4 linked regions of the Pelodiscus sinensis genome follow. The protein of the gene in region 1 purifies or fractionates together with the protein of each later gene. This does not show direct contact. Links are inferred from orthologs where the notes say so. Each region holds a gene or a part of one and is shown on either strand. Other genes may lie near its edges.

Region 1 (7,980 bases):
CTCGGTTCGCCCCTTTTCTGTCGTACAGGGCCGCTGGTGCACACCCCTCTGCCGTTCCTCTACGTGCTGGGGACGCCAGGTTAACAACTGCCCCTTGGTTCCTGCCTGGTCTCTCTTTGAGCCAGTTTCAGACCAAGGCGCTTTGCTTCTCATGCTGCGATCGCGTCTGGGAGACTTGGCTGGTGTGGACGTGCTCAATGATGTCCTGCCCTGTGCTTTGGCCCCCGTCCCTCTAGGGCAGAACTACAGTCCCCCAGCCCTTCCTTACCTGCATGGCAAAGTCTGTGGTCACGCAGCCGACCTGCACGTTGGCAGGAGCATCGCAATGCCCCATCCCCTGCTGGATCCGTTTGATGTTGTCGGGCGTTATCCAGCCTTCTCCGTCGTCGCTGTCCCCGTCACTTCCCTCCTCCCCAGCGCTCTCCTGATCCATCCCAGGCGGCAATGTCGCTGGGACCTCGGGGCTCAGGGAAACGGTGTGAGCTTTCTGCAGGGCGAGAGATGCTGTCAGAGGCGTCCCATGCAGCACGCAGGCAGGAGAGGGGAGTGCCGCCCGAGGAGGGGGCGCCAACCGAACATCCGCGAGCCAGGGAGAGAATCCAGCTGAAACGAGCTGGGGAAAGACAAGGGAATTCAAGAGCCCCGACTGCCTCTCACCAGAAGCTCCTGCAGGTCCTCTTCGATGCTGGGCAGAGGGTTCCTCCAGTACAGGAAGGCCCCGAACTCGGGGCTGTCCTCTGCTGCCCGCGGGCGGCTTGCCGAGGTGGACACGCACGCATCCGCCTCCAGGCGCTGGGACTGGGGGAGAATAAATACAACAAAGTTACTAGACTGCTGGGACATCCCCAGAGCCTGGGGCTGCCGCTGCCTCCTTGGTGCCCAGGCCTGACTGCTTGATCCTAGACAGGCAGTGGGGACAGAGGATTAACGTGCAGAACGATGGGACACTCCCAAGGAGCCGGGAGGCCCTGGAAGAGAAGCGAGAGCATGAAGGGAGGAGGCCAGCACAGGCAACCCTGTAACCGTTCGCAGGGCCAGGTTCTGCGAGCTCCACTCCTGTCCTGACACTGCCTGTGATGAAACACCCCCTGCCTCAGTTTCCCGGGATACAACGCTCTCAGGCAACCTCACCGGAAATGAGCCTTTGTGGGCGTGGAAGGCTCTTTTCCCCCTGCTAGCACCTTCCCCTGGAGGACCCCCAGAGGGTTATCCCGGCGCATGCAAACAGGTACCTTGGATGGCAGGTGGAACCCAGCGATATTCACAGGCGCCTCTGGATGCCGGATGGTGGAGCTCAGCTGAACCTGCGGGGGATTAAGAGCAGCAATGGGGTTAGCAGGCAAAGCAGAACTCCAGACCCGGACCGGCCTGGGCTAGTTCCCAGGCCAGAACACCGGGACGGCCTGGGGCATCTCTCCAGAACCCCTCCAGCCATGGAGCTGAGTTGACTGGACTGGCTTTCCAAACCGAGTGGAAGATGCTGAACAGCTGGCGGATGATTACACTTCAACTCATGGCTAAAACAGGCCCCCCAAGCATGGTTCAGTCCCCAGGATCTCACCCTACATGCTTACTTTGCGGGGGAACTGGTTTCCTAAGCTGGGCCACATCCAGGTGAGGGGAGTGCATGGGGCTTGCGCTGCCTTTATGCCTCCCCGGCTCTGGGGATGGAGCGGTTCCCAGCAGAAATCAAATCCCACAGGGCCACCAGAGTTAGGGCAGCCAGGGAGGCTGCCCAGCAGGTGGCAATGCTGCTCAGAGTCCTTGCAAGGTCACAGCTCTGCCCCTAACATCCTTCCCCCCTCAGCACTATTGCTGAGTGTTGGAGGCAGAGGGGCGTGACCCGCTGGCTGGGAACGCAGCCTTACAGCGGGGTTCTGCAGCACCTGCACTAAAGAATCTGCGCTGGGCCAAACGTGGGGCTTTAGAACCCTTTTATGTTGCAGATTTCACCCATGAGGTGTTCGTAAGAAGTGACAGACCCTACCTTGCAGTCACACACATTTACCTAGTGTATTGACTGACAGCTGTTTACACGCATCACGCAGTATTGTACTTTCTGTGCTGTGCATTTTAGAGAGACTGGATTTATTTTGAGGGGGGAACGGGGCGAGGTGACTACGGCCGTGCAGCTGTACAATTCTTTTAACGCAAGTGTTTCAGAGCTAATGTTTTACCTACATTCTTTATTGCAGCCAGATGCTTCTTTTCAATTATTTGTTTTTCAAATTTCTCGGCTACCCAGAAGTGCTTTTTGGAGACCAGACAAAGGGTCATGTGACATGGCACCAAGTCACAAAAATAGATTCAGCCCAAATTTTACACCAAGAATTGGAATTAAGCTCCTCCCCCCCAGCATTGTACCTCCCCACGAAACGTGTGACCCGCCCATTCATCCACCCAGCACCATGGCAGAAGCCTGGATGCGTCACTCAAGGGAGTTTACCTTTTTTTCTGGTTCTGTCTTCAGATGAGCCACTCCAACGGTCTCTGCCTCCAGCTGGTAGGTCAGGGCTAGCACCTGGAGATCTGTGGCTGACAGGCTGGGGTAGTCGCCTGTCTTTTTTGAGAATTCTGTCACTGTAACAAAGTGAGTGTGTGGTCACAGGGGGGAGTCCTGCCTGAGTCCGACGGTTCGCAGACACACGGCTCTTAGGGAGGCCTCCTAGAAATATATGAATACAGCGGGGGGACTCGGGGTACCTAAATAGGCTGTTCTTTTCTTTGAACACTCCCGTCTATTGAGAATTCTTCCCCAAACCCTCAATTCCTAAGGGCATTTTCTCTTTAAATCTCTTCCTCAGGTCTTTTCTTCTGGTCCATGGCTAGCTGTACGTAAAGGGGGGGGAGGGGTGCTGCTCTCTTAAAGAGCGCAGAATCCAGAGGTAGTGTCACTTTCTCTTGACTAATGACAGTAAGGTTAAGAGGTAGGTTTTAGTAGCAATGGGATAAGCAGATCAAAGATTCATTCCCCAAAAACAGTTTTACTTGAACGCTATCCTCCTCTCCGTGAACTTTCCCCCCAGAAATCACAGCCTTGTCCTATGTCCCAAGAACTAGGAAGCAAACCTGATTAGAAGCCAAAGTAAAAACTATTGCGCTAAGCTAGGGAGCAAATTCATAGCACTAATGGTGAGAGCACGTTTGATACTTACAATCATAGAACCATAGAGCTGGAAGAGACCTCAGAAGGTCATCAAGTCCAGCCCCCTGCTCTAGGCAGGACCAATCCCAACTAAATCAACCCAGCCAGGGCTTTGTCAAGCCGACACAATGGTTTGTTTCTCTCGCAGGAGCAGGAGCTAAATAAAGGAATGGGACTTTCACCTTGACCTGTGCTTCATAGAATCCAGAGTAGACAAACTACAACGAGCACAGCTGTTGTGAGTAAAGCCGTGCGAGTACCGGCCCTGGCAGGAAGGCCACTGGAGTTGGCTGTGGGCAGCTGCCGTAGTGCTCTGCCAGGTGCCCATGAGGCCAGCTCACTTACCTAGTTTAACATACTCAGGGAAGGGCTGTTTGAAGTGAAGCTCATAGGGCAGCACGGCCAGTCGCCTCCTGGTCTCCTTGTCCCGGATTTCACTCACCACCTCCTTAATTGTGTAAACGTTTCTGCCGAAGTCCTGGTGTATGAGAAACACAAGAATTTCTGCTACTGGGAACTAAAAGACAAATGACCAAGACCAGAAAGGACCTGGGGATGCCCAGTTCCGTAGCCAGCCTGGTGTGATCCAAAAGCAGCTCCATACACAACGCCCATCACCGTGGAGCCAGACACTGAGACAAGAGCACTCATAACAACACCCTCCCACCATCCAGCTGGGAAAGGGGCTCCCAGGGCAGACAAAAACCTGGCTTCCCTGCTCTACAGTTATTAGTGGGGTCACTGGATGACTTAGGCAAGATAAGGCCGTTCTGGAGAAGCTAAATGAATTATTTGCATCAGCCTTTGCTGCAGAGAACATGAGGCAGATTCTCACACTTGAGCTATTATTTGTAGGTGATAAGTCAGAGGAATTGTTCCAGATTGACGTGCTGATAGAAAAGAAGTTCTGAGATAAATTCAGCAGTAACTAGGGCCAGATAGTATGAAATATGAACATTTCTCTAAAATATGCAATTACAAAGCTATTTTCTATGGCATGTAACCTACTGCTCAAATCAGCTTCTGGAACAGGTCACTAGAGAACAATTATCATGATGCCCATTTTAAAAGAAGGCGCCACAGGAAATCCCGGCAATCGCTGGTCGCTAACTCTGACTTCCGCACCAGGCGAACTGGTTGAAACTATAATAAAAAAAAAACCAAAATGCTCAGACCCCTCGCGGAACAGGATTTGTTGGGAAGGGCCAGCAGGGCTTTTGCAAAGGGCACTCGGCCCTCAACCCGCCTGAATTACTGAGGAACTATTCAAATTCTTTGATTTTTCAACCAACACGTGGACAAAAGGTGACGGGGGGGGGGGGGAGAGGCCCTTTCCCGGCCAAGGCCCCCCGAAGCAGCTGCCCTGGGAGGAGAGAGAAGGGCCCTTCGCGTGTCGGTTCGTGGGGGGGGGGGGGGGGAGCAGCCACGGGCGAAGAGTCCCTGAGGGCTCGGGCGACTGGCGGGGGGGGGGCAGTCACATGACGCCTGGCAGGTCTGCGGCTGCGCCCCCCCAGCTCCGCCCCTCGCGAGCGACGTGACTCAGGGTCGGGGGGTGCCGCAGCCAGTTGCAGGACCCCCCCTTTCTCCGGGCGCCGCTGGTGAGGGCGGGGGGCCCCCCCCGCCCTGGGGCTGCCCGAGGGCCGGGGCCCGCGGAACTCCCTGCCGCAGGGTCCCCGCCCCCCCCCGCTCTACCTGCAGCGGCGCCCCGCGCAGAAAGGCCCCCGCGTCCGCCACGACGTGCTCCACCGCCGCCATCTTGGCGCACGCACAGCCCGGGGCGAGCTCGCGATGCATTCTGGGAGCGGCAGTATGCGGCGGTCGCGGGGCACGCCGGGAGTTCCCCCTCCCCCCCGTGACGCGCTTCCGGGCCGCGAGTCAGGTGGCGAGCCGGCGTCACGTGATCGCGAATGCCGGAGCCGGAAGTGGAGGCGAAGCCGTCGCCGGTAAATGCAGAGGGGTCGGGGGGGGGCTCGGCATCTCCCCCCCCCCCCGCGTGTGTCCTGGGCCGGGCCCGTAACGCGGCTCGAGGCTCCCCCGGGCCCTGCGCCGCCTCCCCACGGCCCCCCCCCCGCCGAGACCCGGTCCCGGGGCGCCCCCCCCCCCGCCGAGACCCGGTCCCGGCCCCCCCCCCCCCCCCCCGCCGGGCCCCGCGCAGCAGCGGGGCCGCTCCCGGGGGCCTGGGGCCGGAAACGCGTCGGACCCGCGGGCGAGTCCGGGCCGGGCGGGGGGGGGGGTCTCGCCGCTTCCTTAGTCCGCCAAGAGCCTCCGTCCTCTGCTCCCCCGGGCCGCGGGGGGGTCCTGTCCGTGGGCTGGTTCATCCTGGGCTCCGTGGGGCCGGGCCAGTGGGGGATCCGGCATCGTCCCCTTTCCAGCCCGGGGCTGCGTCTAGACCTGTCTGCACGGGCCGCTTGAACCCGGACTCTCGTGTGAGAAATCAGCGCCTCTGGCGGGGATACTGCGCTGCTCCCTTCGGGTACAGTCCTTTAGCAGAAGGGCCCGTGCAGACCGCTCAGAGCAGTCTGTGTCTTTTTAATCTTTCCTTGTGTGGAAACCACGCCGTAGCCTCCAACGTCTGTGTCCCTCCCTGCTAACCGTGTCCACTTCCACTGTGTCCTTTCTGAGCTGGGGTGACTAGAACTGGGTGCAGGATTCAAGGTCTGCGTGGACTGGAGGTTTATATCCTAGTGATCTGTTCACACACACAAAGGGGTGGAGCTTTACAGCTTGTTAGGACAACTCCACCAAGAGAGCAGCTGCGCTTACGGAAGAAATTCCTAGTACTGGAGCTTGGTTGCAAATCCGCTTCCTCCCGCTTGTGAACGTGGTGAGGGGCCCTCTTGTGTCAGGGCCCCAGCGCCTGTGAATTGTTTTGTGATCTGTTCCTCCAAATTGGTGACGTGTGTTACTATTGGAGTCACCCCTTGTGCTTTAGATTCTGTGTAGTAAAGTCACGTGCAGTTTAGATTCATCTTAAAGACCCACACGCTCAGGGCTGGAACCAAAAATCAAAAATCCACCTGGGTGCTTATCCCCTGTTGGATCGAAAACTTTCCGGGTAGCCACAGCTTTTGTGCAGCCCTTAGGAGTGCAAAGACCTTTTATAAGCTCAGAGTCTGAGCTGCCTTCCTGAATCTGCGGCTAGCTCTGTGTAGTTCTCCCTCCCCTGTGGCTGGGGGGGGTGCAGTGGAGCAGCAGATATTCTTGTGTGCACATTGCACCAGCTCAATGGCTATTGGGTTGTGGGGGGAGAGGGCAGAAAGCAGGAGACCATCCCCCCTGGAAGCTGGCCAGTGTTTCAAGGGCATGTGCCACTTCCTTTACTTCATGCCAGAAACTGATCTGAAAGACTCCCTGAGGCACAGCATCCCACAAGTAGCCAGGTGCTATGAGGTGGGTGAGCCTGCATGTTTGCCCCTAGTGGGTGGGGTGGCTGGGCAGTGTTTCCAGCTCTGTGGGCTCGTCTACACTGGCCCCTTTTCCGGAAGGGGCATGTTAATTTCACCTATCGTAGTAGGGAAAGCCGCAGGGGATTTAAATATCCCCCGCGGCATTTAAATAAAAATGTCCGCCGCTTTTTTCTGGCTTTTAAAAAAGCCGGAAAAGAGCGTCTACACTGGCCCCGATCCTCCGGAAAAAGCGCCCTTTTCCGGAGGCTCTTATTCCTACTTCAAAGGAATAAGAGCCTCCGGAAAGGGTGCTTTTTCCGGAGGATCGGGGCCAGTGTAGATGCTCTTTTCTGGCTTTTTTAAAAGCCGGAAAAGCCGGAAAAAAGGGGTGGACATTTTTATTTAAATGCTGCGGGGGATATTTAAATCCCCCGCAGCTTTCCCTACTACTTTCCCTCCTACTACAGGTGAAATTAACATGCCCCTTCTGGAAAAGGGGCCAGTGTAGATGTAGCCTGTGTGTGTAGTGGGCAGGGCAGGGCCTGTGTATTCTGTGGCATTGGGTGCAGGTCCTGTCCCAGGATTTTGCACCAGTCTGGCTCCAGTTTTCTCCCTAGCCCCCTCCCGCTGTGAAAGCAAGGCCGGCTGCTGCCGCCTTGGCAGGACAGTTCATCAGTAGCCTTGAGAAGTGCAAACTGCCCCATTTGTCTCACGGTTCGTTTACATCTACCAATGGTACTTTGACATTTAGCTCCTTGGCGGCAGCAGGAACGTGCACGTTCCAGCATCGCTCATGCGCTCCTGCCTACGTGTTCACTGCCACAAGCCTGGCTGCAAATGCAGTGGGGGCATACAAGCCTTTGGTTATTTCCTCAGCTCCATCAGTCCAGAGCATGCAGGGAAGAGAGGGGTTGGGCAGAGCTGGCTTGCTCCTACGGGGCTAGAGGCCTTCCTGTGTGACTGGGTTAGTCACGCATCAGCTGTTAAAGCAGCCCACAGCCCCTGTCAGTGTAAAGGGGCTTTCTAGCCACAGAAGGATCCTGCAGGGTGGGGGTGGAGCTGTGAGTGTCTGGGGTGGATAGATGCCATGTGCCTGTGGCCTGCTATTGTCACCTGCTGTGTAATTCAAATTAATGGAGGTTGTCTATCTCCTAGAGCTGGAAGGGACCTTGAAAGGTCATCAAGTTGAGTCTAGTCCCCTGGCTTCACAGCAGGACCAAATACCATCCCTGACAAATTTTTGCCCCCAACTGGGCTCCGCAAGGATTGAACTCACAACTCTGGGTTTAGCAGGCCAATGCTCAAACCACTGAGCTATCCCTCCCCCCATGCAGGTCCTCGTCCTCTTCCTCTTCCTCCTCCTTCTCCTAACTGCTGGGAGCAGCTGCTGAGAGCGCCTGGGCCGTGGCATGCAGGCGGCCTGCTAAGGAAGCTGGGAATTCAGTGCCA
Region 2 (7,495 bases), on another chromosome or scaffold:
TTTAATTGCACATCCCAAACTTGAAATGAAATTAATGAAAGTTGCAATGTGCAAGGAATGGAGGATGGCTGTCCTCAAAAAATAAGATTTACATTGCAATCAAGGGCTTGTCTACACAGGAATGTCATACAGGTATAAGCTAAGTGCTAAGGTGTGAATTTAAACTGAGATAGTTATACCAATATAACTCCCCATGTTGATGCTTAGTGCATCTTACTTTGGAAGGTGTTTAAGATACCCCTCCCTCAATCACTCGAATAAGAGTGCCTTATGGAAGGGATAATGGTATAACTCAATGAATTTAAATATTCCAGTACAGTAAAAAAATCTTCATGGTGTCTACTAAAGAAAAAACAGACTACTACAGGAAATTAATAGATGAGCTTGAATAATGTGTAGAGTCTTTCACATTAAGTAAGTTTACAATATGAACTTTCAACATAACATTACTTATACAAGAATCAAAACAAGTATTACACATACCATATATCTATTATAAACGGTAAGCCTACTCTCTGAACAATTTTGAGAGGTTTACCAGATTACAAAGAGATAGGATGTCTCTGGAATATAAAAACACAGCACAAAGGGCACTGAGAGCCTTATTAAACCATCTTCCTTATGGCATAGGCCAAAGGAAGGGAGATCACTTTTCCTGATTCTTCAAAGACCCACTTTAGGGCTCTCCAATTTCTACAGAGGCACCTGTCAATCAGAAGCATGCAGATCCTCATAAGTATTTAGGTGCCTGTCTGTCTCTTTAGGAGCCTTCATCCACTGTTTAGGCACCACTAATATTTTCAAAATCCTTGTTTAGCTGCTGCCTAACCCCATATGCATCTCAGTCTCATAGGAGCCTAAGTTTCTGTCAGTTGGCATTTGCTAAGCAACCGAAGTTTTGACACCACCCCACAGCTAATGAGCAGCTCTGACGATTAGTTTACACTGAAGCCCAGGAGGCCCCTAGGCAGGATTCTCAAACTAGCCAGAGGATTGCGTATTTGCCAGCAAGACCTGATCCCACAGGCACTCTCTGGGGTAGCCTAAGACTTGATGCCTGTCAAGTCCCACAGCAGGAGGGCTGCAGTCTACCTTTAGGTGTCAGAGACAGCACAGCAGTCACATAAAAGGCTAAGTTGGGAGCACAGGGAAATGGGACAAATCATGAAAGAAATACTGAACAGCAGACTGAGAAAGGGATGGTTTTGGCTACTAGGGCAAGAACCACCTAATTGGCTGACTTGGCTTATGTGTCTAACTCCAGCAGAGGGTCTCTGGCTGAGGAGCCTGAGTGGAGGGAAGTGCCTATTTCTGGCCCATCAGCCACAAGTACCCAGGTAACCTGGCTAGGAGCATATATACGTCTCCTCTCTCCACCTCTTTTCTCAGAATTTCACCTCTGACTAGTTTAGGCTGTTCCCCAATGCCCCCCTCCCTTTAGCTTGGTGATTTCTCAGGCTTTCTTTCCTAGACACCTTGCTTTCCCCAATAGTTGAATGAGGAGCCTGAGTGCCCAATTTGGGGCTGAGGATTCCACTAGATAGCAAACTACCTCAGAGTTAAGCACTGCAATGGTGTGCAGAATTATCTGGGCCATGTTCCTAAAGAGAGCAGAATGGCATTCCCATTCACATTTATTTCCATGCTCTTCTAGTCAAATATCATTAAAATCAACACTTAAAATGCCAAAATGTATCTAAAACTCTGCTAAATGTAATCCCAGCATCTGTGATGATTTGCTTGTCAATTTATTAGCACAGGAACTGGTGTATTTTCTATAGTTCTGCACTCTCTCCAGTTTGGCCTGATGGAAAAAAAGGTTAAAAAGAGTTGAAGTGCTGCACCTATGTCTTTGTATGAAATATCAGGTATTAGATCTGCTTTTCATCAAACAAAAATAAATTACTTCACTGCATTTGAATCGTAATACTTCAGGAACTTCTTAAAATATAATGTCATGGCAAATCCTTCACTTTCCCCCTGCTACTTGGTCAAAATATATTTTAAGATGAGAAAATTTGACTGCAACACTTCTGAGTAATTTTATTCAATAATGTTTCCATCCTCTAAATTTACTTAGGATCCCATTGAGCATGTTTTTAGGTCTCTATTTGTCTTTATCTATCTGTAAACTCATATCAATCAATTTTTTTTCCAGGTAAAGTTGTGAGCTCTTGGATGGGGTAGACCTTCTGGAAGTTCCTGTAAACAGGAAACTCTGGTATAGTTTAGAATGTATTTGAAATATTTTAGCTGTTCCACTTAATATAAGAATTCTACAAGACAGATAGCAACTCTAGAAATGAGGCTCTAGCCAACAATGACTTTACAACTGCTTGAGGAATATTAACGAGTTTTCAGTAAGAGGTAAAAAGGGAAAAAAGGACTCCTTTTTTTGAATATGCAGCATAGTATACATTTGTATTTGCATAATATACATATGTTGCATATACAATGCATACCTAATGAGCCACCATTTCTTTCAGAAGAGGCTCTTGCGCAAGAAGGAGCGTCTACACTGCCCCTTCTTGTGCAAGAAAAACCCTCTTGCGCAATGCCATTACACCTATTACTTTTCAGGAAGAACGGCATTGCGCAAGAGGGTTTTTCTTGCGCAAGAAGGGGCAATGTGGACGCTCCTTCTTGCGCAAGAGCCTCTTCTGAAAAAAATGGTGGCTCATTAGGTATGCAAATGAGGGTCGGCAATATTCCACGCTTAGTCTCATTTGCATATTACTCGTGCAAGAAGCCGCAAGTGTAGATATAGCCTAAGGGTGGTATGGAGAAAGAGAATAGGGAAATGTTATTTAGCCCTTCACATAACTCAAGAACTAACGGTCACCTTATGAAATAAGCAGTAGAAACTCATTGCCAGGGAATGTTCTTCTTCAAGTGATTGCTCATGTCAATTCATAGAATGGACTGTAGGCCTTTCACTTTAGGAGAATGCAGGGTCCAGAATGCCTGGGAGTTAGCAGGGATCCTGGCACTGCAGCAGTGAGCAACCTATTCCCAGCCCATTCTGGTTCCTGTCCCTCCCCTCCGCCCCCCCCATCTGTTCCATTCCCTCTTGCAAACCTCCGCCTTGCCTCTTTCTGTCTTCTGTCTTCTTCCTTGAGTGTCGTAGAGTGGCAAGGGTCACTTTCAGCTGCTAGTGCCAGGCCCCCTGCAGGCCCATATGCAGAAATAACTGTGAGGTGTGCTTTTTTTGTAAATGTGGACCACAAAGGTGTGAACGCACTCCCTATTGTCCCACAAGTAAGCGTGGAAATCAGCCTCAGCCTTCCCCTGGCTGGCCAGAGTATGCTTACTTGGGGGACTGCACCCTTCACCCCCCTCCCTCATGTATGGGCCTGCCCTGGTAGCCTCCAAGGCTATGTCTACACTGGTGGGTTCTTGCACAAGAACATCTTGCGCAAGGGTTCTTGTGTAAGAAGTCTTGCACAAGAACACGTCCATACTGCCATGTGCGAGATGTGCTTTTGCACAAAAGCATCCATGGCAGTGTGAATACTCTCTTGCACAAGAAAGCTGATGGCCATTTTAGCCATAGGGCTTTCTTGCGCAAGGTATCCTTGCCGTGCGTCCACACTGCCCTCCTGCGCAAGAGCTCCTGTGCAAGAGGGCCTACACCTGTTAGAAAAGAGTGTAGCTCTTGTGCAAGAAGTGCTCTCGTACCACGCTGTACTTTAAATCTTCTTCCGCAAGAGCGGGCGGGCAGTGTGGATGGTCTGCGGATTCTTGTGCAAGAAAGGACATTAATAATTGCATTTTAACTTCCTTAGTATGGTGTGTGGGGGCAGTGTGCGAAGCCCCCTGGCTGCCCCTGCGCATCAGAGCCAGAGGGGAGACATGCTGTTACTCCCGAGAGCCATGTGGAGCCACAGCATGCAAAGAGCAGGGCAAGCCCTTGCCTCTGATCTCTGGCTAGAACTCAGGGCTGGTGCCCTAGTCTGCCCTATGGATGGAATGGCTCTGAAAAACATAGGCCCAAACACTGGTGGAACTGGCCCCTGGTCCTGAACGCTGATGAACCATGGATTCATATAAATCACCACTTATTTAGACAGTGCATGGTCCTGCCATGAGGGCAGGGGACTGGACTCGATGACCTCGAGATCCCTTCCAGCTCTATGATTGTGACGAGCTCGATCCATGCTGTGGAGCCGAGGCACCCCTCCAGCCCATGGGGTGCCAAGCTGGGGCCGGCGAGTGCTGCTGAATGGACACATCCTCCTTTAATGGGGCCCCAGTCGCACCCCCCAACGAGCGGGGGAGCCTGGCCAAAGAGCAACCCCGCTGCGGGGGGGGGGGGGACACCTACTCCCTGGCCTGCGGCGCTGAGAAGCTGCCAGCAGCGGGAGGGGCGGCAGCCTGTGTGAGACCCCCGCCCGGGGCGGGCTCAGGCGCACTGGGTGGGCTAGAGCAGCAGCCGGGGGAGAGGATTCGGCACCGAGCGGGTGCAGCAAACGGAAGTTCCCTTCTCCTCCAGGAAGTGACGTCGGCTTCCCCCTCCCCGGCGGCGGCGGCTCTAGTCCCGGGCGCGGCGGGCAGCGGAGGCCCGAGGAGCGGGCGGCATCATGGCGGACGGCGTGGACCACATAGACATCTACGCCGATGTGGGCGAGGAGTTCAGCCAGGTACGCGCGGGGGGGCGGGCGCGGGGCCGCGCGGGGGGGAGGAGGCGGCGCTGCCGCCGCCATTGTTGGGGCAGGCGCCCGGGCGCGGGTTTCCCGCGGAGCACTAGGCCGCTGGTGCAGGCCGCATGCGCGGGGCCCGGCAGCTGGGGGCCCGGCGGGCGGGGGTTGCGCCGCTCGCTCCGACGGGGGCAACACGACTCGGCCCGGAGAGCGGGAGCGGCCTGTGGCAGACCCGCAGCCCGGCGGCCCGATCCTCGTAGCGCTGCCCGCCTCTGCCTGGTGGGGGTGGCTGCGAGGGAGAGACTGTGACGCGCCGAGCAGCACCCGTCTCCGCATAACGCTGAGGTGCTGTAGCACACACCCAGCAACTCCCCCCCCATCTCCAGAGCCCCCTGAAGAGACAGTATTGCACAACCAGTATTTTGTCCCATTTCTGTATCTCCTGAGAGATTATACACAAAGCAACTCTTCCATATCCCTGAGGAGAGCGTGAAGTGACTAACACACTGGAGCAGGATGAACAATATACACCCTGCGGGCCAAGTCCAGCTTAACCAGTTAACTGGTTAAAGGCTGAGACCGGGTGGGGGGGAGGAGTGGTCCTCCCTCCTCTGCCACAGTCTAGGGCGGCACCAGCATCCTCTTGTTTTGTCATCCAGCAGCCACCAGTGGTATGTATCTCCCGACCAGGAACAAAGCCTGCACCTCGCATCCCTTTCTGCACCCCAATACCCTACCTCAGGTCAGAACCTGATCCTGGACCAAAGCTCCCTTCCAGACCCTGCAACTCCTCTTGCACCCCAACCCTTGCTCCAGCTCAAAATCCTGCATGCAAACTAGCGATGTCAGATATCAGGTAATTGAATAGTTGTGTAATTGCATAAAATCTTAATGATTACACAACTATTCGATAGTCCCCAGGGGTGGGGCTGGCAGCCAGTGTGCTCCCAGCCCCATTCCTGGGATGCCCCCTGCAACTCTGCACTACTGCTTCTGTATCAGAGGTGGCTGGGGGAGCTGGTCTGCAAGGAGAGCCAGCTTAAAAACCAGCCCCCCGCGCAGAACAGCTACCTGCCTCTCCATTACTTCTGATACAGAGGTAGCAGCACGGGTTGGAAGCAGCCCTTGTCCATAGGGGGTCCAAGCTCCTCACGGACAGAGACTGCTTTGTGGCTGCCTCTCCCCCCGCTGCCACTGATAGAGGCAACAGCGTGAGGGGGAAGGCAGCACTGTGCTGGGGTGAACTGCCTTTTAATCTGGCTCCCCCCAGGACCAGCTCCTGTCATCCCTCTCCCCCCACTCTTGCTGCCTCTAACAAAGAGGCAGCAATGAGGGTGGGTGGAAATGCATGTAGTCAACAAGATTAACTAATATGCCTAGGCTAATTGGTTAATCATATAGGTGACTACATGTTGACATCCGTAGCTTGTAATCAGCATGCACATCAATTCATATGCTGTTACTTTATGTGTATGTCACTTTAGTAATACTGCTACAGAACACACACAACCAACCCTCCCACCCCCGCCACCAATGGAAACCAGTGGAATCTGACAACCCTGTATGTGGGCAACAGGAAACAAAATGTCTAGCGGGCCACTTATAGAACTCCAGTGGGCTGTATGTGACCGTCATATTGCCCACCACTGCTGAAGAGTATAACACCCAGAGCATGGCCCTGTTTGAGAATAGAGGCTGTGACAGACGGCAAAACCCCGACCAACTCACAACCTGAGGAGACACACACCACTAACTCCCATCTGTGTATCCCCGGAGAACGATGGACACACAAAGAGCAACTCCAGAGAGACACTAACACACAGGAAAATATCTCGCATCTCTATATTGGAAATCACCTTATCCCTTGAAATTCTATAAAACACATGAATCCTACCAGCATCTAAGAGAGTTAGAGATCAGGGATGTGTAAAGATAACTGGCTGACTGATAAGCGTCACACTAAATGGGTAATGCTTACTTCCAGTTAACTATAGGGACTGGAGGATGGGCAGCGGGCTGCTCCATCCTTGTGGGGCCCACCACAGGCAGGGGCTGCTCTGGATGACTGGAGCAACCCCTGTCCATGGCGGGCCCAGCCCACTGCCACATGCTGACTCCCTGGACCCAGGTTACATGCTGATTCCCTGGACCAACCCCTGTGGCAGGGAAGCCTCTTCCCCAGGAGTGGCACCAGCAGCTCTTGCCAACTCTGCTCCCGGGGAAGTGGCTTTGCTTGGGGAGAAGGCTTTATTTAAAGTTTATACTGCAGAGCCTGCTGTGTGTGTAACTAAGATTTTTCAGACTTTAAAAAATTTCATCTTTTTTAACCGACTTTATATCCTTGTTAGCAGGGCTTGACAAACGGCGGTGAAAACTGCTTGCCAGCCCCGTACTGCGCATGTGCAAGAGCCGCATTGCGCATGCGCACGCCACGAATGAACAGGGCTCGTGGCTGAAATCTATTTGCCACGGGCAAGTAGATTGTATGGTTTGTCGAGCCCTGCCTAATTTAGATTCTGTAACACATGCATGAAAATCCTCAGTCTGCAGATAGAGAAAGAAACCAGGGAGCAAGCACAATTTCTTGCCCTGTGCAAGGTCATCTAGTAGGAGAAATTAATATGTGGCAAATTTATCATCCAGAGGGAAGAGAACTGTAAAAATATGCGCTGCATTTTCTTGCAGAATGCAAAAATGAATAACTAAATACTAAGAGAGAAACCAATGGGTCTCCTGAAGGTGAGAGTTGATCCAGTCTTGAGACACTTGGGGCATATACTTTAACAACTGCTTTTGCCTGTTTATGGAGACACATCTCCTTTTTTCCTGTATTGCATACAGCCAACTGGCTTTCA
Region 3 (6,927 bases), on another chromosome or scaffold:
GTAAGTCGGAACTGGCGTCCAGATTCAGCTGCTGCTGAAACTGACCGCCAGTTCTGACTTACATACAGATTCAATTTAAGAACCCCAAGCTTCCCCAAGTCAGCTGCTGCTGAAACTGATCAGCACCTGATTCCAGGAAGCCTGGGGCAGAGCAACTCTGCCTCGGGCTTCCTGTAGTCAGCGCTGGTCAGCTTCAGCAGCGGCTGACTTGGGGACGCCTGGGGCAGAGCAGCTGGGGTGCTGCTGGGTTGCTCCAGTAGCACCGCTCCTTGGCGCTACTGGACCAACCCAGCAGCACCCCAGCTGCTCTGCCCCAGGCGTCCTGATTCAGCCACTGCTGAAACTGACCAGCAGCGGCTGAATCAGGACCTGGGGCAGAGCAGCTAGGGTGCTGCCGGGTTGGTCCAGTAGTGCCCAGAAGGCGCTGCAGGACCAAATGGCAGCCCCAGCTGCTCTGCTCCAGGGTCCAAAACAAAAGCCTGGTCTGCTGGGGGGGGGCACACTAGCCGCGCCCCCTCCTCTCCTCAGCAGACCAGGGATACAGGAGCAGAGCCGCAGCGGCAGCGGGGTGCCGCGCCTCTGAGGCTTTCCTCTGGCAAAGCCTCAGAGGCGCGGGACCCCCCCGCGGCTGCGGCTTCAGTCCCGGTGCCTGTGGTCTGCTGGGGACGGTCCCCAGCAGACCACAGGCAGGGGACTGAAGCGGCAGCAGCGGCGGTTCCCCGTGCTTCTGAGACTTTGCTTTGGCTTTGCTCCGGTGCCCCTGGTCTGCTGGAGACCGTCTCCAGCAGACCAGCGGCACCGGGCGGGTTCCCATGCTTCTGAGGCTTTGCCAGAGCAAAGCCTCAGAAGCGCGGGAACCCGCCGCTGCTGCCGCTTCAGTCGCGGTGCCTGTGGTCTGCTGAGGACGGTCCCCTGCAGACCACAGACAGGGGACTGAAGCGGCAGCAGCGGGCGGGTTCCCCCGCTTCTGAGGCTTTGCCAAAGCAAAGTCTCAGAAGCGCGGGGAACCGCAGCTGCTGCCGCTTCAGTCCCCTGCCTGTGGTCTGCTGGGGACCGTCCTCAGCAGACCACAGGCACCGCGACTGAAGCGGCAGCAGCGGCGGGTTCCCGCGCTTCTGAGGCTTTGCCAGAGCAAAGCCTCAGAAGCGTGGGAACCCGCCCGGTGCCGCTGGTCTGCTGGAGACGGTCTCCAGCAGACCAGGGGCACCGGAGCAGCTTACGAACGGGGATTTCTCGCCCCGGAGCTCGCAGGTAGCAATCCGCTACCTCGACCTCCGGGGCGAGAAAGCCCCGTTCGTAAGTGCGGATCCGACGTAAGTCGGATCCGCGTAAGTCGGAGACTGCCTGTAGTGTTAAATGAGGAATTATTCTACTAAAAAGTCTTCAAATCACAAGCTACATACATCCATAAACAGATGCCTGAGGTACATCCTTCACATCAAATGGCAAGACTTTGTCACAAATGAGGAGCTTTGGAACAGAGCAGGACAAGAACCACTTGATGTTCAAATGAAGAGAAGAAAGTGGGGATGGCTAGGCCACACTCTCAGAAAACCATCACCCTGCATAGTCAGTTAAACTCTCACATGGAACCCCCAAGGAAAATGCAAAAGAGGAAAACCTCAGACAACATGGAGAATATCTACTGAGATTGAAGGACAACTCGGGTACTCCTGGAGTCAGCTAGAAGTTTTGTCTCAAGACAGAATGAAGTTGGAGAGTTAATATCATACATGGAAATATACCTCTCTCAGAGCTGGAAGGGACCTTCACAGCAGGACCAAGTACCATCCCTGACAGATTTGCCCCAGATCCCTAAATGGCCCCATCAAGGATTGAACTCACAACCTTGGCCAATGCTCAAGCCACTAAGTTGTCCCTACATAGGTCATAGATAACCTATGCTCCACTTGGAGTGCAAGGGTTTAAGAAGAAGAGGACAAAACAATCTTTAATTCATGGAGACTGCAAGACAATTTGGAGTATTAGCAACCATAGGACAGGCAGCATCTTAGATCAACTTCCAGAGACTATCTCTGACAGATCCCTTATGCCCCCTTCCTCCAGCCTTGAACCCACCACCCTATGTTTCCACAGGCAAATGCGCTAGCCCCTCAGCCACAGCAGAATTCACTCCATTGCCTGCTTGCCGCTGGGTCCCTTATGTGTAAAGACATACACATGAGGCTGTAAGAGCATCTATCAATATAGCCAACAATACCTACACACTATGTCCAGCTCTGACATAACGGGAAATAGTCTGAAATAGTGGTAGATACCAAATGTTGCTACAACTGCATCATCTCAATAATCTTACTCTGGAAAAGACATATAGAAATGGGCAATAGATAGTTAGATAATCAACAAGGTCCTGAGCACTGGCCACACCCAAGGCCGGACTGAGGCATGGGCGAGCCGGGCAACTGCCCAGGGCGCCAACCGATGAGGGGCGCCTGATGGCAGCTGCAAGGGGCGTGTGGCGTCCCTTATAGCTGCCATCAGGCGCTGCGCGCCCGGCTCCCGTAGTGCTGGCCCCGCGGCGCTGGCCTGCAGCGCTCTTCCCCCCACGGCCGTGGGGCCCTGCATGGCCTGGAGCGCGTGCCAGCAGCGCTGGCCAGGCTGGGCTGGGCAGCGCATGTACTGTGCGCCCCGGGGGCAGGCCCCGGGCTGCACGCCAGTGGCCGTGGCCGGCCCACGAATGCACCGTGTGCCCTGTGGGCGGGCCCGTGCTCCCTTGATAGCCAGGCCTGTGCCCCACAGGCGGGCCCACGCATGCACCATGTGCCTGTGGCAGCACTGCATGCCTGGGGCACCAAAAGGGCTTGGGCCGGCCCTGGCCACACCTGCATATATCAGAATAACTGAACGCATTTCCTCTCATTGTGGTCAAAAGTAGGCTGTTAAGAGTCTGTGGCGGCTTTTACCAACCAAGAAAGATGGTGAGTCTTTTTTCCCAGCAGATGCATTGCAAGAGTGTTTCCTATGCAACAGTGTTGGGAAAAGTAGTGGGTAATTTGCTTTTTGGAGAGGTTCTTTGGTTCCTTCCCTTATTTCTGCCATACAGGATGTAAGTGATTGCAGAAGCAGCCGTTGGGTCAGGTGGATCTGTGTCTGAGTCACTTTATTTCTTGTATGGAGCACTGGTAGGGTGTGTCCATACAGCAAAATTATTTTGGAATAACAGCGAGCGTCTACACACAGTTCTATTATTTCAACATAATGGACGGCTTATTCCGATATCTGTAAACTCATTCTATGAAGAATAATGCCAATCCGCAATGGCTATTTCAGAATGAGGCGTGTGCAGATGCTCCACTTCTGCTATTTGGAAACGGCCCGTCCCCAGGGCCATGCTCCTCTTGGGGCTGCAAACCGAGAAGGCACGTCTACCCCTGCGTCAGGCTCATTCTGAGGCTACCCGGCAGCGCAGAGGTGGGCTACGTCTACACTGGCATGATTTTCCGGAAATGCTTTCAACGGAAAAGTTTTCCGTTAAAAGCATTTTTGGAAAAGCGCGTCTTGATTGGCAGGACGCTTTTCCGCAAAAAAGCCCCGATCGCCATTTTCGCGATCGGGGCTTTTTTTGCGGAAACCAAATCTCTGCTGTTTACACTGGCGCTTTGGCGCAAAAGTTTTTGGAAAAAGACTTTTGCCCGAACGGGAGCAGCATAGTATTGCCGCAAAAGCACTGACCAGCTACATGAGATCGTCCGTGCTTTTGCGGAAAGTCAAGCGGCCAGTGTAGACAGCTGGCAAGTTTTTCCGCCAAAAAGCAGCTGATTTTGCAGAAAAACTTGCCAGTCTAGACACAGCCGTGGTGTTTCGGGCCAGGCTATTCCCGACTAGCTGCGCGCGTGGAGGCGGCCCTAGGGGCAGTCAGGAGAAGGCTCTGGCTGAGGGAGGAGCCTGGTCCCTGGGGGAAAGCTCGCAGGGGGCTGGTCCCCACCGGGCTTTTCCCTGCCGCGCCCGACAGCTGAGGGAGCGGGCCTGGCGCTAGGCCGCAGCGCGCGCAGCAGACGCCCGCCCCCTGGCGGGAGCTGGGGAAGTCTGGGCCCGGCCGCCGCGCGGCGGGAGGAGCGCGAGGGCTCCCGGCAGCCCCCGCTCGCCAGGGGAAGCCGCTGCCGGCTGAGGCGATGGCGGCCGGAGGCGGCGAGGCGCGCGCCGCGGACGTGGAGGAGGACGCCTCGCAGCTCGTCTTCCCCAAAGGTGCGCGGGGCTCGATCCGCGGGGGACACGCCCGGGAGCTGGGGGCGGACGGGCGGGGAAGATTCCCCCTGCGGGGCGGGGAGGAAGCGTGGCCCGCCCCGGCCCCTGGTGCTGGCGTTGAACCGGGCCGCCCAGTCCCATTTCCCAGCTCTGGGTCGCTGCCAGTCCCCACAGGCAGGGGCGCTGCGAAGAGAACGAGCCGTGGCAGCCCGCGCTGCCCGAGCGCTAAGCCGCCCGGTTCCAGCCGGACTAGCCCCGCGCGGATCGTTCTTGAAATAGCGTCTCGCAAGGCTTTTCAGTGCGTCAAAGGGGCACGATTGCGGCTGAAGCGCCCCCTTGCCGGGAACCTCTACTAGGTGCTGTGCAAATACAGGACAAAAAGACAGTCCCTGTCGCAGGGTTGTATGTAAAACACTCCGAGCTGTATCAGGCTGTCACAGTTCAGTGATCTCTGGGATTGATCTGAAGAACTCTAGTTTTTCTGATCGATGATCCTTGGCACACAGGTATTGCTGCCCGTGAGACTATTTTACAATTATTGACTGGAAACCAACTATTGAAGCATTGAAAGCGGGATTACCAATTGCCAGTAAATTCTGTTGCAAATATTCTGAATGACTCTGAAAAATAGTGTACATATCAATATAATTCAAAATAGTAATATTTAAATAGCTATATTTGTTCCTTCAAGGTGTCCCCAAAATGGGAAAAATGGGCTTATACTCTGCTATGATGTAAATGGAAACCAGAAATATGTGCAGTCTAGTTGCTTTTTTGCACCAGAAATTCATACCCCATCTAGTCTCATAAACACACTTGAAGTCAAACAAATTAATGAAATGGTTAAAAAGCAAGAGCTGAGAAAGAAGTTTATCTACGAGAGGGAAAATGATCTATAGTCAGACTGTTTCAAACTTGTTTTTTGTTATTGCCTGTTTAATTTCAACAACTAAATTAACATTTCTGATAATGAAAGCCTTTGTTAAATATTCAGGATCCTTTAATTAAGGTGCTAGCAGTAAACATCCCTCAAAACTGCAAGAAGCTCTCTAGCAAAACCACAGAAAACCACTCTTGCCATTCCTGATTTAACTAAGTTAAAAAAGAAGTAGTGTAAAAAAAAAAAAAGCCTTTGCAGTACTATCCTTTTAATATTTGTCTTTTATTTCAGACCTTTGTGTCTACTGAGTAATAATTCATTACAAAAATATGATTACCTCAAAAGATTGGGCTGGCAATTTAAATATGTATGATCAAAAAGTTAAAAATACCTGGAGTGCAACTCAGTATTGTAAACCTATTTGTCTGGCCTTGGAGGAATTATATTCTCATTAGTAATGGCTTCCAAGTTATGGAATACAGGATTTTCTGTCAAAGCTATGTCTCTGGCTCATTTTCCTTTCTCTGCAGCTATATCTGAGCATGAAACAAAGCATGTAAGAATTGGCTTCTTTGTTGGTGTCCTTATCTCCCCCTCACACTGATATTCACTTGCTCGTGTACAGAATTTGAAACTGCTGAGACGCTTCTAAATTCAGAAGTGCACATGCTTCTTGAGCATCGTAAACAACAGAACGAGAGTGCTGAGGATGAGCAGGAGCTCTCTGAAGTCTTCATGAAAACTCTGAACTACACGGCTCGCTTTAGCCGCTTCAAAAACCGAGAGACCATTGCCAGTGTCCGTAGGTGAGTGAGAGCGCCAAGGAAAGATGAGTTATTGTAGTGTATGTTCTATATTATGAAGTTGAAACATGTTAATTATTTCCAGGAACAGGGTTGTTCTAGAGATCTTAGTTGTATATTTCTGGGGGAGTGAGGGACTTAGTAAGATTCCATTAGAGCAGTGGTTCTCAAACACCTTTGCATTGGTGATCCCTTTCACACAGCAAGCTTCTGAGTGCTATTCCCCTTATACATTAAAACACATTTTAAAAATATATTTAATGCTACTATAAATGCGGGAGGCAAAACATGATTTTGGGGCTGGAGGCTGACAGCTCACACAATTCCATGTAAAAAACTTGTGACTTTTGAAGAATCATGACGTCCAGGTTGAGAGCACTTGTATTAGACTGGGTAATAAGAGGCCCCAGGCTGAGCCCCCAGAGCTCTTTTGGTATGATATGATAATATATGATAATAGGTTGTGGTAGATAAAAGGACTTTTCTAGCTTTTCTTTTTTGGAGGCTTGCTGGGGTTATCGTGTATGACTTTTTTTTCTTACTAGCAATAAGAGTTATATTCATAATAAAAATTACAACTTATATTGCTCTTTTTCTCATCTCCATTCCTTATTCACAGTTCTGTCAGGAGAATGTCAGCAGTTTAGTTTCTTTCACATTCTTTTCCTTTCTTCTTTTTTATTTATTCTGTTTTATCTCTACCCTTACCATTTTCTTTTTCTGTAGTTTGTTGCTCCAGAAAAAGCTCCATAAATTTGAATTGGCATGTTTGGCTAATCTGTGTCCCGAGACAGCTGAGGAGGCCAAGGCTTTGATTCCCAGGTGAGAATTTATGACTTTGGTTTTATGATTTATGGGTTCCAAGATGCAGGAATAAGTGGAAAACTGAGCTGATCTATTGTTTCCCATTTGTAGTCAGCATTTCATAGCCACTGTGGGATGGCCTACAAGGTACAATTCTGCATGATGTCAGTCAGATATCTTTGTTTACATCTGTTCCTGAGTATGGCACCCTTCTAATTTCATATCCTGAAACTG
Region 4 (6,865 bases), on another chromosome or scaffold:
ACATTTTATAGTACCTCCTGATAGTCCAGCATATCCGATAATCTGGCACCACTTAGGTCCCAAAGGTTCCAGATTATTGGAAGTCTACGTACTTAAAAAATATTTTATTACCTTTTGAGTTTTTGTCTAGCTGTTCTTCAAACTCCTTTTTGGCTTTTCTTACTACATTTTTACACTTAATTTGGCAGTGTTTATGCTCCTTTTTATTAACCTCACTAGGGTTTGACTTCCACTTTTTAAAAGATGCCTTTTTATCTATTGCTGCTTCTTTTACATGGGGGAGGGATAGCTCAGAGGTTTGAGCATTGGCCTGCTAAACCCCAGGTTGTGAGTTTAATCCTTGCAGAGGCCATTTAGGGATTTGGGGCAAAAATTCATCAGGGATGGTACTTGGTCCTGTTGTGAAGGCAGGGGACTGGACTCAATGACCTTGCAAGTTCCCTTCTGGTTCTAGGAGATAGGCAATCTCCTTTATTATTATTATTTATTTTATTATTTTGTTAAGCCACAGTGGCTCCTTTTTAGTTCTTTTACTGTGTTTTTTTAATTTGGGGTGTACATTTAAGTTGGGCCTCTATTATGGTGTCTTTGAAAAGTGTCCATGCAGCTTGCAGGGATTTTACTTTAGTCACTGTACCTTTTAATTTCTGTTTAACTAACCACCCCATTTTTGCATAGTTTCCCTTTCTGAACTTAAATGCTACAGTCATGGGCTGCTGAAGTGTTCTTCCCACCACAGGAATGTTAAATGTTATTATATTATGGTCACTATTTCTGAGTGGTCCTGTTATAGTTACATCTTGGACTAGATCCTGTGCTCCATTCAGGACTAAATTGAGAATTGCCTCTCCCCTTGTGGGTTCCTGTACCAGCTGCTCCAAGAAGCAGTTGTTTCAGGTATCAAGAAATTTTGTCTCTGCAATTTGTCCTGAGGTGACATGTAATATGGGGATAATTGACAGTCAATAGGGGGATAATTGAAATCCCGCACTATTATTGAGTTCTTTATTTTGTTAGCCTCTCTAATCTCCCTTAGCATTTCATAGTCACTATCATTGTCCTGGTTAGGTGGTCAATAATAGATCTCTACTGTTATATTCTTATTAGAGCAGAGAATTACTATGCATAGAGATTCTATGGGACATGTTGATTCATTTAAGATTTTTACTTCATTTGATTCTAATTTTTTTTCACATATAGTGCCTCGTCCACCTCATCAACCTGATCCAGTGAGCTATAGCAGACACCAACCACAACATCACCCCTGTTGCTCCTACCTCTAAACTTAACCTATAGACTCTCAACAGACTTTTCTCCCTCTATATACTGGAGCTCTGAGCAGTTCTATTGCTCTCTTACATACAGTGCAACTCCTCCTCCTTTAGCCATGGGCTGGCTGCTCATCTTGATACCCTGTCTCTGAGCATGGTGGGGTTGGAAATAGAAGAGCATGCCTTGTCCTGGCCATAACATGGACCTGAGAGCATCACTGCTCAGTGTTGTGTCCATAGTTTCAGGAGCACAATCAAACAAGAAATAAGAGTAAATTATGGGATTGAACTGAGGGATTTCTGGGAATTCAACACCCACAGATTCAAAATTCCCTGGGAGGAATGAGGACCCCACAATCCATAGCAGAACTCCAGTCTTTACCAGACAGTGTGCCAGAAGGCGGCATGAGAGATGCAGGATGCCAGCCCATGGAGCCATGTATCTTTTGTGGATACAATCTGATGCCATGTACACCTTCTGCCCAAGGGTGAACACTATCTTCTGATACAGGGCATCCAAGACCTGCATTCATTGAAAAGGGCTGTTGCCTTGGGAGCAGCAGTAGTTGTCAGTGTGCCCCCAGGTGGTGCTAAGACGACCAGGAGAAAGGCTGTAGCACTGGGAGCAGAGGATTTGTCTGTGCCTGAAGGCAGTGCTAAGAGGACAGGGGAGAAAGGCTGTGGCACTAGGAGGTGGAGAGGGGTTGTCTGTGTCTGCAGGCAGTGCTAAGATTCTGGGGTGCTGGGCTGTGCAGATTGGGAGAGAAAAGCTAGATTGCCCTGGGGAGCTGCTGGCGGCGGCGAGGCGGGCAGTGGCTGAGCGCTGGTAGGCAGAGATGCGCTGGGCAGCGCAGGCTGTAAGGGGAGGCGCTGGGGGGCGGAGGGGTGTGGCCAGGCAGCGCTAGTACTGCCCAGCCCCCTGCCCGGCCACACCCCTCCGCCCCCCAGCACCTCCCCTCGCAGCCTGTACTGCCCAGCGTCCCGCCCTCTAGCGCTGCCTGGCCACGCCCCTCCGCCCCCCAGCACCTCCCCACGCAGCCTGTACTGCCCAGCGTCCCGCCCTCTAGCGCTGCCTGGCCACGCCCCTCCGCCCCCCAGCACCTCCCCTCGCAGCCTGTACTGCCCAGCGCCCCGCCCTCTAGCGCTGCCTGGCAACGCCCCTCTGCCTCCCAGCACCACCCCTCGCAGCCTGTACTGCCCAGCCCCCCGCCCTCTAGCGCTGCCTGGCCACGCCCCTCTGCCTCCCAGCACCTCCCCTCGCAGCCTGTACTGCCCAGTCCCCCTCCGCCCCCCCTCCGCCCTCAGGCTGCGAGGGGAGGTGCTGGGGGATAAGTGGGTGTGGCCGGGCAGGGGGCTGGGCAGTGCAGGCTGCGAGGGGAGGTGCTGGGGGGGCGGAGGGGCGTGGCCAGGCAGCGTTAGAGGGCGGGGCGCTGGGCAGTACAGGCTGCGAGGGGAGATGCTGGGGGGCGGAGGGGTGTGGCCGGGCAGGGGGCTGGGCAGTACAGGCTGCGAGGGGAGGTGCTGGGGGATAAGGGGGTGTGGCCGGGCAGGGGGCTGGGCAGTACAGGCTGCGAGGGGAGGTGCTGGGGGATAAGGGGGTGTGGCCGGGCAGGGGGCTGGGCAGTACAGGCTGCGAGGGGAGGTGCTGGGGGATAAGTGGGTGTGGCCGGGCAGGGGGCTGGGCAGTACAGGCTGCGAGGGGAGGTGCTGGGGGATAAGGGGGTGTGGCCGGGCAGGGGGCTGGGCAGTACAGGCTGCGAGGGGAGGTGCTGGGGGATAAGTGGGTGTGGCCGGGCAGGGGGCTGGGCAGTACAGGCTGCGAGGGGAGGTGCTGGGGGATAAGGGGGTGTGGCCGGGCAGGGGGCTGGGCAGTACAGGCTGCGAGGAGAGGTGCTGGGGGATAAGGGGGTGTGGCCGGGCAGGGGGCTGGGCAGTACAGGCTGCGAGGGGAGGTGCTGGGGGATAAGGGGGTGTGGCCGGGCAGGGGGCTGGGCAGTACAGGCTGCGAGGGGAGGTGCTGGGGGATAAGGGGGTGTGGCCGGGCAGGGGGCTGGGCAGTACAGGCTGCGAGGGGAGGTGCTGGGGGATAAGGGGGTGTGGCCGGGCAGGGGGCTGGGCAGTACAGGCTGCGAGGGGAGGTGCTGGGGGATAAGGGGGTGTGGCCGGGCAGGGGGCTGGGCAGTACAGGCTGCGAGGGGAGGTGCTGGGGGATAAGGGGGTGTGGCCGGGCAGGGGGCTGGGCAGTACAGGCTGCGAGGGGAGGTGCTGGGGGATAAGAGGGTGTGGCCGGGCAGGGGGCTGGGCAGTACAGGCTGCGAGGGGAGGTGCTGGGGGATAAGGGGGTGTGGCCGGGCAGGGGGCTGGGCAGTACAGGCTGCGAGGGGAGGTGCTGGGGGATAAGGGGGTGTGGCCGGGCAGGGGGCTCGGCAGTACAGGCTGCGAGGGGAGGTGCTGGGGGATAAGGGGGTGTGGCCGGGCAGGGGGCTGGGCAGTACAGGCTGCGAGGAGAGGTGCTGGAGGGGCGTGGCCAGGCAGCGCTAGAGGGCGGGGTGCTAGGCCGCCTGGGGGAACTGCTGTCGCGGGGTAGGAGCGCTGAACATCCGGGCCGAAGAGTAGCCTGGAGCGAGCCGTTTCCGCTTCCGGTCCCAAGCACCTTTCTGTGTGCCGGAAGCGGAAGGGACAGTAGCGAGATGGCGGCTGCAGCGGAGGAGGCGGCCCCACCGGTCTGCGTGCTGGTGCTGGGCATGGCGGGCTCCGGGAAAACCACCCTGGTGCAGGTGAGGAGATTCGCGCTCCGCGTGAGGCGGGGGCTCCGCTTTCCGGGGGTGGGGGGACGGGAAAAGTGTGTGTGTGGGGGGGTCACTCACGTCACGTCACATCGCCCTCTCCTCCGCAGAGGCTCACCGCCCATCTGCACAGCCAGGGGCGCCCGCCCTACGTCATCAACCTGGACCCTGCGGTGCACGAGCTTCCGTTTCCTGCCAACATCGGTGAGTCGCTCGCTCCGCCCTCGGGCGGGTCTCGCGCTTTTCCTCACGTGCAGTTCGCTGTCTTCTCAGCGCTCTGCGGTGTCTGTGCGTCTTCGTTCAGAGCCGGACGCCGCGCCCAGGCGTGCACAGCTGTGCAGGGCACCATAGGGATGCCCTAAGTTTAGTGGTGCACTGTGTTATGCATAGGGATGGGACGTTAGGCAGCTACAGGCAGCACTAGCTCTGGTGGCCCATCTTTTGGCCCACCACAGGTTGTAAAGTAAAGCCATTGTGGAGAAACTAAATGATTTCTTTGCTTCAGTCTTCATGGCTGAGGTTGGGGAGAGTCCCGAATCTGCACCGTCCTTTGTGGGTAATGAATCTGAGGAGCTGTCCCGGATTGAAGTGTTGTTAGAGGAGGTTTTGGAACAGATAGAAAAACTTTGTTAACAAATCTCCGGGACCGGACGGCATTCATTCAAGGGTCCTAAAAGAACTCAATAGCTCAGCAATTTCCCATTTATCTGTCGTTTGTAACCTATCCTTTAAACCGTCTTCCGTACCTAATGACTGGAAGGTAGCCAACGTGACACCAATATTTAAAAAGGGCTCTAGAGGCCATCCTGGCAATTACAGACCGGTAAGTCTAACTTCAGTACCGGGCAAATTAGTCGAAACAATAGTGAAGAATAAAATTGTGAAGCATGTAGAAGAACATAATTTGTTGGACAAAAGTCAACATGGTTTCTGTAAAGGGAAATCCTGTCTTACTAATCTGTTAGAGTTCTTTGAAGGGGTTAACAAACATGCAGACAAGGGTGATCCAGTAGATATAGTATACTTGGATTTTCAGAAAGCCTTTGACAAGGTCCCTCACCAAAGGCTCTTGTGTAAATTACATGGCCATGGGATAAGAGGGAAGGTCCTTTCTTGGATTGAGAACTGGTTAAAAGACAGGAAACAAAGGGTAGGAATAAATGGTAAATTTTCAGATTGGAAAGGGGTAACTAGTGGTGTCTCCCAAGGATCAGTCCTGGGACCAATCCTCTTCAACTTATTCATAAATGATCTGGAGAAAGGGGTAAGCAGTGAGGTAGTAAAGTTTGCGGATGATACAAAACTGTTTAGGATAGTCACGACAGAAGCAGACTGTGAGGGACTCCAAGAAGATCTCACCAAACTGAGTGATTGGGCAACAAAATGGCAAAAGAAATTCAATGTGGATAAGTGTAAAGTAATGCACATTGGGGAAAAATAACCCCAACTATATGTACAGTATGATGGGGGCTAATTTGGCTACGACAAATCAGGAAAGAGATCTTGGAGTTATCGTGGACAGTTCTCTGAAAACTTCCACACAGTGTGCAGTGGCGGTCAAAAAGGCAAATAGGATGCTAGGAATTATTAGGAAAGGGATAGAAAATAAGACCCAGAATATCTTACTGCCCCTGTATAAAACTATGGTACTCCCACATCTTTAATACTGCGTACAGATGTGGTCTCCTCACCTCAGAAAAGATATTTTGGCCTTGGAAAGGGTTCACAAAAGGGCAACTAAAATGATTAGGGGTTTGGAACAGGTCCCATATGAGGAGAGGTTAAAGCGACTGGGACTTTTCAGTTTAGAAAAGAGGAGACTGAGGGAGGGATATGATAGAAGTATATAAAATCATGAGTGGTATGGAGAGGGCCAATAAAGAAAAGTTATTTATTAGTTCCCTAAATAGAAGAACTAGAGGACACCAAATGAAATTAAATGGGTAGCAGGTTTAAAACTAATAAAAGAAAGTTCTTCTTCACACAGCGTGTAGTCAGCCTGTGCAGCTCCTTGCCAGAGGAGGCGGTGAAGGCTAGGACTATAATAGAGTTTAAAGAGAAGCTAGATAATTTCATGGAGGTTAGGTCCATAAAAGGCTATTAGCCAGGGGATAAAATGGTGTTGTTGGCCTGTGTTTGTCAGAGGCTGGAGAGGGATGGCAGGAGACAAATCGCTTGATAAATGTCTTCAGTCCACCCTCTCTGGGGCACCTGGTGCTGGCCACTGTCGGCAGACAGGATGCTGGGCTAGATGGACCTTTGGTCTGACCCAGTACGGCTGTTCTTATGTGCCCAGCCACTGGCACTGCTCACTGTTTCCTTCTGGTCAGCTCCCCCGCCCCCCCCCCCCCCCTCGTATCTTTCAGCTAGCTCACAGCTTTACAGGGCCATTCCTGGGATGTTGGGACAATACCCCTCCCCCAAGTTCCAGGCTCTTGCACCCTGCTTGCACCCTCCATCCCCCTATTCCTTTCCCCAGTGCCCCTCCCCCATACTCTTGAGTGCAGTGCTGCAGTGGGAGCCTGCAAAATAGAATGAGGTGAGGCCCTGTTGCACCACTGCTTTCCATCAGTGAGTGTGGGAGTAGGCCTGACCCCTATTGTCAGCACCAGCCCGTCTCTCTTCCGCCCCCCCCCCCCCCCCCCATCCTCTGGGTTGCCCTGGGGCCTGTGTTTCTGCATCTCTATGATGTTTGGGGCCTAGCACAGAGTAGTTGCTGGGATGGCTCCACCTGTCCCCCTTCCTGTTCCCCCACTAACCTCTCCCTTGTTCCTGTCCCCCACAACTCCTCTTCTTCCTCCTCCCCAC

The links.
Region 2: the proteins of WWP2 (region 1) and CPSF6 purify together in Homo sapiens (affinity purification with mass spectrometry; 3 studies listed by BioGRID and IntAct, counting the BioPlex papers as one, with this or other methods). This does not show direct contact. The link is inferred for Pelodiscus sinensis from reciprocal best matches to the Homo sapiens genes WWP2 and CPSF6.
Region 3: the proteins of WWP2 (region 1) and POLR2D purify together in Homo sapiens (affinity purification with mass spectrometry; 3 studies listed by BioGRID and IntAct, with this or other methods). This does not show direct contact. The link is inferred for Pelodiscus sinensis from reciprocal best matches to the Homo sapiens genes WWP2 and POLR2D.
Region 4: the proteins of WWP2 (region 1) and GPN1 purify together in Homo sapiens (affinity purification with mass spectrometry; 3 studies listed by BioGRID and IntAct, with this or other methods). This does not show direct contact. The link is inferred for Pelodiscus sinensis from reciprocal best matches to the Homo sapiens genes WWP2 and GPN1.

What each region holds. Positions count from the first base shown.
Region 1 is NC_134722.1:1,626,616-1,634,595, reverse strand, and holds the start of WWP2 (NEDD4-like E3 ubiquitin-protein ligase WWP2), read left to right. Parts: upstream 1-4,960; 5' UTR 4,961-5,052; coding exon 5,053-5,088; intron 5,089-7,980. Other genes in the region: RNA-binding protein NOB1, read right to left, coding at 269-487, 658-798, 1,233-1,304, 2,447-2,580, 3,491-3,623, 4,838-4,939. UniProt on the Homo sapiens protein: E3 ubiquitin-protein ligase which accepts ubiquitin from an E2 ubiquitin-conjugating enzyme in the form of a thioester and then directly transfers the ubiquitin to targeted substrates.
Region 2 is NC_134711.1:63,706,847-63,714,341, forward strand, and holds the start of CPSF6 (cleavage and polyadenylation specificity factor subunit 6), read left to right. Parts: upstream 1-4,483; 5' UTR 4,484-4,580; coding exon 4,581-4,640; intron 4,641-7,495. UniProt on the Homo sapiens protein: Component of the cleavage factor Im (CFIm) complex that functions as an activator of the pre-mRNA 3'-end cleavage and polyadenylation processing required for the maturation of pre-mRNA into functional mRNAs.
Region 3 is NC_134720.1:5,692,363-5,699,289, reverse strand, and holds the start of POLR2D (DNA-directed RNA polymerase II subunit RPB4), read left to right. Parts: upstream 1-3,924; 5' UTR 3,925-4,133; coding exon 4,134-4,206; intron 4,207-5,711; coding exon 5,712-5,892; intron 5,893-6,615; coding exon 6,616-6,711; intron 6,712-6,927. UniProt on the Homo sapiens protein: Core component of RNA polymerase II (Pol II), a DNA-dependent RNA polymerase which synthesizes mRNA precursors and many functional non-coding RNAs using the four ribonucleoside triphosphates as substrates.
Region 4 is NW_027465901.1:118,032-124,896, reverse strand, and holds the start of GPN1 (GPN-loop GTPase 1), read left to right. Parts: upstream 1-3,848; 5' UTR 3,849-3,961; coding exon 3,962-4,048; intron 4,049-4,167; coding exon 4,168-4,261; intron 4,262-6,865. UniProt on the Homo sapiens protein: Small GTPase required for proper nuclear import of RNA polymerase II (RNAPII). May act at an RNAP assembly step prior to nuclear import.